Linked DNA regions of Danio rerio. The protein of the gene in region 1 interacts with the protein of each later gene in a biochemical or structural test. Links are inferred from orthologs where the notes say so. Each region holds a gene or a part of one and is shown on either strand. Other genes may lie near its edges.

What was found. The genes of interacting proteins can lie anywhere in the genome.
Region 2: the proteins of ube2t (region 1) and uba6 form a complex in vitro, tested with the Homo sapiens proteins (2 studies listed by BioGRID, with this or other methods). The link is inferred for Danio rerio from reciprocal best matches to the Homo sapiens genes UBE2T and UBA6.
Region 3: of the proteins of ube2t (region 1) and uba1, one has a biochemical effect on the other in vitro, tested with the Homo sapiens proteins (4 studies listed by BioGRID, with this or other methods). The link is inferred for Danio rerio from reciprocal best matches to the Homo sapiens genes UBE2T and UBA1.

The regions. Positions count from the first base shown.
Region 1 is NC_133198.1:5,229,891-5,234,184, reverse strand, and holds the start of ube2t (ubiquitin-conjugating enzyme E2 T), read right to left. Parts: upstream 2,877-4,294; 5' UTR 2,806-2,876; intron 2,705-2,805; 5' UTR 2,700-2,704; coding exon 2,591-2,699; intron 2,497-2,590; coding exon 2,427-2,496; intron 933-2,426; coding exon 827-932; intron 639-826; coding exon 540-638; intron 4-539; coding exon 1-3. UniProt on the Homo sapiens protein: Accepts ubiquitin from the E1 complex and catalyzes its covalent attachment to other proteins. Catalyzes monoubiquitination. Involved in mitomycin-C (MMC)-induced DNA repair.
Region 2 is NC_133176.1:21,383,279-21,386,855, reverse strand, and holds part of uba6 (ubiquitin-like modifier-activating enzyme 6), read right to left. Parts: intron 3,510-3,577; coding exon 3,440-3,509; intron 2,385-3,439; coding exon 2,313-2,384; intron 1,188-2,312; coding exon 1,064-1,187; intron 968-1,063; coding exon 774-967; intron 687-773; coding exon 559-686; intron 465-558; coding exon 377-464; intron 1-376. UniProt on the Homo sapiens protein: Activates ubiquitin by first adenylating its C-terminal glycine residue with ATP, and thereafter linking this residue to the side chain of a cysteine residue in E1, yielding a ubiquitin-E1 thioester and free AMP.
Region 3 is NC_133198.1:23,558,938-23,562,514, forward strand, and holds part of uba1 (ubiquitin-like modifier-activating enzyme 1), read left to right. Parts: coding exon 1-35; intron 36-140; coding exon 141-248; intron 249-360; coding exon 361-441; intron 442-1,539; coding exon 1,540-1,692; intron 1,693-1,808; coding exon 1,809-1,974; intron 1,975-2,054; coding exon 2,055-2,251; intron 2,252-3,577. UniProt on the Homo sapiens protein: Catalyzes the first step in ubiquitin conjugation to mark cellular proteins for degradation through the ubiquitin-proteasome system.

The DNA of each region.
Region 1 (4,294 bases):
GGACTGAAAGGCATTCAATTAATTGTGATGAATATGTAGAAAGCAAACAAATGCAAATACATTACTATAATAATTCCAGAAGTTACAAACATGAAAAACTAAAGGCTGATTTATACTTCTGCCGCAAGCGCACGTGTATGCTACAGCGCGGTCTATGCACGGAGGCATAGCCCTCGCCATGGCCGTCGCTGACGAGCACCTCCCAAAAAAACGTAACTACATTTTAACTAACTGGAAAGTTTTGTTTTGTGTTTACCTCATGGTTAAAGTTGTTGCACGTCTGGCGGTTCCTGCCGCAAAATGAGCGAGTTTGAACCACTTGTACATTAAGGAAGCATTCAGAAAAAACAAAACACCAGCGAAGAAACTGGACACAGAGAAACAAACACCTCACTGCCAACTAGTGTTTCGGAAGTGTTATTGCAGAGCAACAGAAAAAAGTATGCACAGCTACGCACGTTGCATGCGCCGTAGGTCACGCTGATCACTTAACGCAGAAGTATAAACCAGGCTTTATGGGTAACTGAATTAAAACTCACTATATCAGCCATGAGAGGGTCGTCAGGGTTTGGTTCGGCCATCAATAACTGTATGGATGTGAGAACTGTTGAAATGTTAAGCGAGGGCCTCCAAGCTCCCTTTAAAAAACAATGCTTATAAATATCAGCATGTGACATGTCAGTAGTTTACAACCACAAGAGAGTTGCAAAAAGGTCTATCAAGTTAATACAACTAAAAATACCAAAATATTTCAAAACAGAATTCAAATTTTGAGTGGAAAAATACATATTATTGGTACATTATTGTTGCTGTTTTTAGCATCTACCTTTGGTGGCAGTTTCAGAGCGTCAAGACAAATGCGTCCTGCATTATCAATGTTGGGGTGATAAATGGGAGTCAGGAAACGCATTTTTGGAGGTTCAAATGGATACCTTAAAACAATGAACAAAAGTGTTAAGCAGGCATTTAAACCAAGTAATCATTTAAATTTATTTAAAAAAATCTTTAAAATGGCTTATTAGGAAAAAAATACTGATTTTTTCAATTGATCTCTGCTTTATTCAATCCAATTAATAAATCAAAAGCAGATTAATTCAGTAACAGCTTTACTCGGACACAAATCCAGATTTATAAGGAACCATTTTCAATGGTGAAATAGAGGAAAAAGACAACATTGTATCTAAAATGACTAAATACACAGTAACGTTATTGAACTACTGTTTGTACAATTATGCATGTGATGTTTCAGGAAAACGACACTCTTGCCAGAGTATTATGCCAAATGGATACAGGAATATTTACAGCACATTTTTGAAGTGAAATGCCTTTTTTTTTTTTTTTTTTTTTTTTTAAGACATGATAATACTCTGGTGTGCAATAATATTGATAACACATGATTCTAGCATGAATTTAAAGATTTTTTATATCAATTATATGATTATTGCTAGTTTAATTTCTAAATTGTCATAAAAAACAATCATGAACATGGGAATGTGCTATGGTCCACGGCAACTTCATGCCTAGCGTACGTACATTTCTTGTACAATATACAAAATATTCATAATCACCACTGTAAGTACATATATGTGATATGAAATACTTAAAAAAATGGTTGGGCTGTTATCATAATTGTACAAAAGCAAACACACTGAAAAAAAAAAAAAAAATCTGATAACCCATATGTGGCCCATTTGTGAGCTGTGTGTGTGTAAGCTGCCTAACCGGGGCCCACATTCAGCTCAACAAAATGCCCACTTTGAGCCCATGCCCACTTGACACCCACACGGCCCAAAAAATCCTATGTGGACATGTCGGCTGGGTTGTTATGATCAAATTTTTTAATGCACCCAGAAACACTGTTTTTCTTTTTTTTTTTTCTAAAACAATTATCATAGTGTAAAAATGTTATATTGTTACAACCTACCTGTACTGTTTAAAGCACTGCATTTTTTTAAAATCAAGTCTGAAATGGCACAACTTTGAAACAACATTAGTACCATTAAACTGACTGTGAACAATGCTGTGCTTTGATAGTCATTAGCATAGAGGTAAAGTTGGTTTTATATCCGCACATTCATTCATTTAGCAGTCTCTATATTGTTTACCATGTTGTTTTGAATATTGGATAGAAATTAGCATGCAAATATGACTTCTAAACAACATTAACACTACCTATTTCAATGTGAACAATGTTGTAATTTGATAGTCATTTGCTGCTAATATGATTTCCCCATTTACAATTTGCAAAGAATACTATTCTGAAACTATATTATTGAGGATAATGTCTGAATATCCAAATATAAAACCAACTTTACCTCTATGTCATTAGCTGCTAATATAATTTCCCCACTTAAAACGGGCAAATAATATTGTTCTAAAACTAAATTAAGAAGGTTTAAGTCCGAATGTGCAAACCAAATTCCCACCTCTCAGGTATGTTGATTTCCAATGTGAACACACCACCTTCATACGGAGTGTTTGCACCTCCAACAATTTCTATACTCCAAACACAAAGGTAAAGCAAGGGCGTCAGATTTGGATATAATATGTAGTTTCAGTAAGAGACGACAAAAGAGAAACAGAAACTGACGGGCTTGTAGTTCATCCAGGCGTCCCTCTGACTGCCAGCACGAGACTCCTGGAGGAGGTTCAGCGGTGAGGAGCTGCATCTCCCGCTTCAGACGACTGACTCTCTGCATGGCGACTATGCACATCAACACCACGCGATTATTAACAATTCAATAAGTACATTATTTTATTCAACACTGTATGAGGTCTTTAACTTAATATCGTATGTGTTATTACCGTCCAGCTTTGCTTGAAAATTCCGGCTGGCTGGTTGACTTGTGTGGTTTTGATTCTGCCCGCGAAATGTTAATACGTCATTGTGCGCCGGAGGTGCATCCAGATTCATCATGGGTGTTGTAGTTTTTTTTTTTTATGTATGTTTTGTACAGTGTCTCTTTTTTATTCTCTCTGTAGACACCGTGTATTCTTCGTACCTCGCTTAAACATTCGGCAGATCCTGGAATAACTTGACTGATAACTGATCGCTGGCTATATCTGTTTTTTTTTTGTTTGTTTGTTTGTTTTTAAACAATTTGCGAATAAGATTAAAATGTCTGGATGAACTGAGATCGCTGTGTGTTGCTCATGATTGTTTATAGACATTATAATGTCTGTTGTGATGAATCACAGGCTAATTTTTTATATAAAATTAATATAAAATATATACATAAAATATGTTGTAGCCTAAACTGTTTGTTAAAGTCCGCATGAACCGGAAGATGTGACCATTTATTTATTTATTTATTTTAATTTTTTTCCATAGTTTAGAGAAACTGAATATTAATTGACAAAACAGTAGCTGTGGCTTTTTTTATTTTTTATTTTTTGTTTGTTTTTTGTTTTGTTTTGGGGTTTTTTCTGCAAGCTGAATGGATGTAGTAAACTTTCATTTCTTTCAAAAAGATCGGTAAAAGGGTTTTGGGGAGAGTTAAACAACCTGTCACCTCCTCCTCAGCAACATGGTTAAATATGTTTGTGACGCCCAATTCTTGAAATGTATATAATCTAACAATTCAACACCCCCCCCCCCACCCCCCCAATAAATAAATAATAATAATAATAATAATAATAATAAAACAGGAAGTGCATTTTCAGATTTCCAATAAAGATTACAAGGACAAACATTTTTTTTCTCTTTTAATTACATGCACAGATGACTTGTTCACCACAATATTAGCAGCTAGATAACAAAATCATATTTTTGAATTGATGGGGACTTTAAATATGATACGCATAACTTTTCACATTTGCTGTGGGCCTACATTTTATTTGTTGAAATAGCAATTTATTTAGGTTTACATTTAGAGTGATTTCCCTTTATGTTAGTATTCAATTTTCCTGTAGCAGAAGACAAAACTGGCTAATAATATTGGCTGTGTCTATTACCATACACTCGCATTTGTAAAAAAAAAAAAAAAAAAAAAAAAAAACATATGGTAAAATTAGCCTAGGGCTACACAGTTTTTTTTTTTTACTTGTTAAAACTACTTTTTTAAATGAGCTGAAACAACACAAGTCCTGAGATTTCATTGGGACAACTTTTTTTTTTTTTTTGTATTGTTCAATTCACATTAATTTGTTAAAGTGTTAAGTTAACTTAATCAATTTGTGTTGGGAAAACATGAATGGATCGTGTGGAACCCTGCATTTTTTACAGTGTTTGGCTACATTTATAAAGCTTGGCAAAGTAAGCTTTAGGTTTGAATTTGAAATATCTCAATATGTT
Region 2 (3,577 bases), on another chromosome or scaffold:
GGTTTCCCTATCCACGAGAGCGAAAGTGAAAGTTAATAATTCATCTCTCATTCTCTCGCTGCAGATGTTCTGTTTAACTGTTTTCTTGCTAGTGAAATGCTCAGTTTTTCCACCTACAGTTACTTTACGCCATGTAAATGGCAAATGTGCTTATGGCGCAACGCAACTGGCTCTTAAAGGGAATGGGAGATGAGAGTCTGATTGGTTTATTCTCAAAACACACCTATAACTCATTAAGAAAATAAACTCAGCCCTTTTAGACAAAGTGGATTTTTCCGTCCTTATATTAGCAAATAGATTCTGACACGCCCTGAAAGCGTTTGCGCCCTGCGCTTTGTGCATGGATCGTCAAAATAGAGCCCTTAATGTTACTCACCCTTACGGCACTAATAAAATCAGATAAGGTGAAGTCCTCACGACCGAAGATGGTCCAACGATCCCAGATAGAAAATGAAATATCATCTCTGGTCAAAACAAAAAGATCCAATTACATGAAGCCAGGAATAGTGCATCTATTCATCCCTGAAAAGTATCTATGCACAAGCACTGATCTGTTACCTGATTTGGGTTCTCTTGACCTGAGCTGTTTCTGTAAGAACCACAACTGGAATGGCCAGGTTGAAGAAGCAGTTTTTAAACAACTCAAATCCATAACCGCCAGCAATTTTAATCAACTCCATCGACACCTAAAGGGAATGAATAATAAAGCAATCATATATCCACACAGCAATGCACTCAAATATTCACTGAAATCATTTAGTTTTTACTCTCACCAGTCCAGCGACAGCAGCTGTAGATGTAGCAATCGCAGGGATGATTTTGCCAGCTATTCGTTTGGTTTGTAGTCGGTCAGCGGCCTCAATGGCGTACATACGAGCTCGCAGGGCTGACGCTGATGCTACAAAATCCATGTGTCCATTTGTGTCATCGTCCTTTTCGAAGAACAGCGGACTCATACATAGTCTCTCTAAAGTAAGAGTAAAATGTGAGTACAAATGTGTGGAAGCTGAGCATCTTGATTTGTTATGAACTGTTTGTTATATGTTGTGTGCTATAAACACACCAGGTGTTACTAAGTTGGAGTTGATGGCCTCTTGTAGCTGTGAAATGGCTTCTCTTTCCTCCTCACTGCTCACTGTTATTTTCAACTGATCTGGCTTTTTAACAGTCTCGTCAGTCTCTATATGCTGAAATAAAAAACACACAAAAGTGATGAAATTCGGTAAAGCCACAGAAAATCACAAATATTTGGCTCTTGGATAGTTTACCAAAAATGTAAAAATTTACAGTTTTATTCACCAGATCTTTATGAAGTTATTTATTATTTATTATTATATTATTATTATATATTTATTATTTTATTATTTATGATTTTATTTTTTCAGTTAAACCTAAAAGATATTTTGAAGAATTTTGGAAATTGTTAACCACTGACTTCCATAGTAAGTAAAACAAATGCTATGGAAGTCAATGATTACTGGTTTCCAAGATTTTCAAAAATGACTTTGTTTGTGTTCAGCAGAAGAAAGAAACTCATCCAGCCCTATCATACTCCCGGCGCAATAAGGTGCACGTTGTGTATGGTGCGATTTGTTGCTAATTTCAGACCAGCGCAATAGTAATGTTCACGTTTTGCACCACGTTGCTTAAATAGCAAAATCCATTTGCATCACTTTGCTGACTCATGGGTGTTCCGGCCTATAAAGGAGGTTTGTTAAAACACATTGTTGGCGCATTGCTATTTTAAGGAACTAAAAAAGACCACGCCATTGACCAACTAAAAGCTGATCTAAATGTAATGCACCTATGCAGGTCCAAAAGCTTACACATTGCTTTATAAAAAAAAAAAAAAACACTACCTCCACGCCTCATCTTGGTGGACTTTTTAATTTTTGCATTGTCTAAGAGCTGATGAAATTAAAGATTAAAGGAATTAAAGGTAAACAAAAAAATTTTAAAACAGATAAAATCACGTTTAAAGTTCAACAAATTAAGTTAGCAATGCACAACAGGTCTGTCTTCAAAGAGTTTATTATTGTTAAAAATTAATTTCCCTAAAATAAAAATCAAGTTTTTCTTTGATCCAGAATCCAACTGTTACTCTTTATTAGAGGCAGGAATCCCAGTAAAACATTTAGAGCATTACGATTTTAATTCTATAAGCAGGTTTATGTGCCAAACTCTGTTTAAGTCACATCACTTTGACCTAAATGCAAAGTTAAATAATGTTGTTTTATTTTGATTGCTTTTATAAAGTTGTTGTGTTTAAGAATGAGTACAATCAGACATGCACAAAGTGAATGAACAGATACCTTTTCAGCTGGTTTGTATTCAGGAACATCCACTTCAGCTAAAACTCTGGAGACATCCTCGTAGGAAAGTTGCTATAAATGATTCAATAGAACATTATAAGACAAATAGCAACAAAACTTTACAAACAATTACTTCAAAAAGTAGGAGTGTGCAATATTGAAAATTATCTGGATTATTTGTTGAGTTTAAATTATTAAGTTAAACAATATTAGTTTTTTTAAATACTATTGTTTCTTGGCTGGTTTAAGCCTAACAGATCAAGAAATATCAATATAGTAGCAAGTCCCTGCATTAATGAGCTTAATTCTTATTCTGTCTTAATGAATAAATTCAAATGATTCATTCAAAATGGCTGATTCATTCAGAAAATAAGCATCTCTATGAATGTATCACTGAATCATTTGCTCATAATGTTAGTGAACAGCAAGATTCATTTCAACCTTTTAAGCTAAATGTAAAATAATTTTTTGTAAAATTGTTTTCTAAAATCATTATCACATTTGAGATCAAATTTAAAAAACTGATTTTCAAGATAGCGGCACTCTTGCATGGGTCATATTACTACTACATCATTCATTCATTCATTTTCTTTTCAGCTTAGTCCCTTTATTAATCAGGGGTTCCACAGTGATATGAACTGCCAACTTATCCAGCATATGTTTTATGCAGAGGATGCCCTTCCAGCTGCAACCAATCACTGGGAAACACCCATACACTCTCATTCACACACATACACTATGGACAATTTAGACTTCCCAAATTACCAATAGCACATGTCTTTGGACTTATGGGGGAAACCGGAGCACTCGGAGGAAACCCACAACGGGAACATGCTAACTCCACACTTTACTATATCATCTTTTATAAATATAAAAAACATAAACCCAAACCCAAGGGATATTTATGAGTTCAGTACAGGCTCATTTTAACATTCTGTATCATGCAGTGAACACTTTTGAGTGTTTTTAGTTTGTTTTCTGCAAATTAAACAACATACACAAAAATCTCAGCTCACACATTGTTTAGGCAACAATTATAATATTGCTGTAGACAATAAATATTGCACACCATGCACTTTTTCAGGCACCACACAAGTAGACAGCAGTTTGTGTAAATCATTGTTTACCTCTTCTGAGTATGGAATATTATAAATTCCAGCAAAAAGGCGAGCTGCGCTGACAACAAAACCAAAATGCCTGAAGGACAAAACAGAGATTTTTTCATAAGCTTTCACACATCACCTGATTCTTTGTTTTACTGCAGT
Region 3 (3,577 bases), about 18 Mb from region 1:
TTATTGGTGGGCTTGCTGCCCAGGAGGTTATGAAGGTAATATGGTCTTCCATTATTGTCTTTGAACTTTAGATCTGTGAGATGCAGCATTGTGATGTGTTAGCCTCACCTATCATGCTTCTTTATTGTTTATCTGCTCAGGCCTGCACAGGGAAGTTTATGCCCATCATGCAGTGGCTGTATTTTGATGCTTTGGAGTGCTTACCTGAGCCTGAGGAAGTCATTCTTACAGAGGAAGAGTGTGCTCCTGTAAGTGCTTTATATTTTTAGCATTTGTTTAATATTTGTGCATTGTTATGGCTCGCTCAAAAGATTGTGGGTTTAAGACAGAATAATTTATTCAGTTATCTGTTTTGTACAGAGGAACTGCCGGTATGACGGCCAGATTGCCGTCTTTGGGTCCAAGCTGCAGGAGCTGTTAGCCAAGCAGAGATATTTTCTGGTGAGAATCTAAAACTGGCTGTTTTTCAAAACTGAATGATTTCTCTATGCCAGATAAGGGACTGCACAATGCCTTGTCACCTTGAAGTTACATTGAACCAAACAAATAGCTTTGAATAGTTTATAACAAAACAAGCAAGTATTTGCTGATCCAAACTTTTTTTATGCATTTATTCCTCAATTATTTAGTGCTTAATTTTTACTAATACAGTCAAAAACTACATTTTAAATGGCTTAGAAAAAATTACAAATATATATTATGGAAAAAGTATTTGAAATGTTTTGGCAAATATTAAATTGAAATACTAAAATTACAGATGAAAGTATGAAAACTATAGAAAAATAACGTATGATAAGGATAAAGCATATTTAAAATTAAAACTGGACATTTAAAAAAAAGCTCATTCAAAACGGTTTGTGCTGAACAAAATGCCAGACAATAACATCAGCCACGTTTTGCTTTCAAACCATTGTAGATTTGTTTTTCATCTCGCTTTTAGTTATTTTAAGCCGCTGTTGTAAATTTGAAGAAGAGACAAACCAGGAGGATTTTTCCAATATCTTCAAAGCAAAATCGTTTTCCGGGCCTTGCTTGAAAGCATCACTAGGCCATTTGTTAGACAAAAGACACAGCCCTGCCTGGAACTGACAATATGCATTATTTTGGAGAAACAATACTGTCTTTTACATATAGGCAGTCTACCTTGATCCCTCAGGATGCATCTTAAAATGTAAAAGCCTAATTTATATATTAAAAGAAACTTGTAATCTTTCACCATCAAACAATATTGAAAAAAATAGTTCATGCTAGATTATTTTTGCCTTTAGTCCACAATTAATTGTTAAACTGAAACTACGAAAATAAAGCTTTATTTTTATTTTTTTTTTTGCTAGACAATAAGCTGAAATATTAATATAAAAAATTAAAACCATTTGTAAAAGTCAATAAATATAAAATTAGACAAATTAAGACTAAAATATTAAAGCAGAGGAAATTGATGCTTCAGCAACAGGTAGTTGTATCATTTACACAAAAAAGAACAAAAACCTCTGCTTTAGCATGTGTTGCGTTCACCTTAGTGACCCTTTCTGTGTTCAGGTTGGTGCTGGAGCCATTGGCTGTGAGCTGCTGAAGAACTTTGCTATGATGGGCTTGGCCAGTGGTGAAGGAGAGGTCATAGTCACTGACATGGACACCATTGAGAAGTCCAATCTCAATCGACAGTTCCTCTTCAGACCCTGGGATGTCACGGTACGATTGACTGACCCATTCTAACACTGAGGAAGGAATTTTGAGAAAAAACAGGATTATAATGCCTTACTTTTGTATAACATCGCTGATGGCTTTGTTCTTCTTTTATCGAGCAGAAGATGAAGAGTGAGACTGCTGCTGCGGCAGTGAAGCAGATGAACCCGTCAGTCCGTATCACTGGTCACCAGAACCGTGTGGGACCGGACACGGAGAAGGTCTATGATGATGACTTTTTTGAATGCCTTGATGGAGTGGCAAATGCTCTTGACAATGTAGATGCCCGTAAGTAAGAGTTTTAAGAAATCGTGCAGCTGCTCACAGTTGAAAATGCATTGCTTGAACATCATGTTTGCTCCTTCCAGGTATGTATATGGATCGGAGGTGTGTGTACTACCGTAAGCCATTGCTGGAGTCTGGTACTCTTGGCACCAAAGGAAACGTGCAGGTGGTCATTCCCTTCATCACAGAGTCCTACAGCTCCAGCCAGGATCCTCCAGAGAAGTCCATTCCTATCTGCACACTCAAGAACTTCCCAAATGCAATCGAACACACCCTACAGGTGACAAGCAATATTGAAATGTTGTCTTGAGCCTTATTCCCAAACTCGATTTAGAAATTTTTTTTTTTTGCCAAATGGGCAGTCTTTTTGAAGTATACACTGGGGTTGCTCTGATTGATTGACTACCAATTACAATTTGTCAGTAATCACTTCTAAAAACTCTATCTGTGATCTCTTCATTTTCCAGTGTCATAAAACCAATGTCATTCTGATCAAATCATTGATGCCAATTCATTCTTTTTCTGGCATGGGTTAAATAATAATTAAAAATTTCTAATTACTGGAATTAATTAATGGAGATCATTTAGTTATTTGTCGATTGTTTTTAATGTAATGTTTATAAAAATAGTTAATGTAATGTATAAAAATGTATATTAGTTTTTTGTATAATCTCTTATTGAATTAAGTTATTTAATATGTTTTTCTATATTGGTCTTGGCATGAAATAATCACAAGTTGCTGATGTGGCAATAAATGAACTTGGAACTATTTTCCTGGTGAATTACAAGTCATACATCTTAATTAATTTTGATAAACTCTTACCCAGACTTAACACCAATGTCACCAGATTTCTCTAGAAAGGTTCACCAGCCCAGTTTTTGTGCTTCAGGACATTGTTTAAAGGAATCATTCAATCAAAAATTAAAATCCTGTCATTTTCCATTTTCTCACCCTTCACTTGTTCCAAACCTGTTTGACTTTTTGTCTTTTGTTGAACACAAGAAAAGATATGAAGAAGGGTGGAAACCTGCAACTGTTGACTTTCATAGTATTTGTATTTGGAAGAAATTGTACTATGGAAAGTCAGGTTTCCTTAATGCATCTTCATTAGTGTTCAACAAAGAAAATTGTAAAGTTTTGGAACGACTTGAGGGTGAGTAAATGTTTCATTTTTTGGAGCACTATTTCTTTGAGGGTGAGTTGACCTCTTAAAAAGACACTAAAATAAGCAGACATGACAACTGCACCTGTGAAACAAATGTAACCAAAAGTTAAATTACCAACTTGTAATAAATGAAAAGGTAGGAAGTGTAAGTAATAATAAATCAAAATCACATATTTGAATGATATAGTTAATTATTTAAATATTTAAGGGTTTTAGATTTTAAGCACGATTTAAATTATATGTTAATCTAAATTTTATTTAGTTTTTTATATATTTATTTAATTTTTGGTTGAAATAGTTTTCTGCTGAAGAAAGCTGCATTGATTTGATAAATGTGTCAAATTTGAAATTAAAGTGTATAAATGAAGGTCATTTGAAAAGTAACGTGTATGAATATTTCAAAATGTAACTTTTTTTGTTATGAGGATTTGCAGCATATA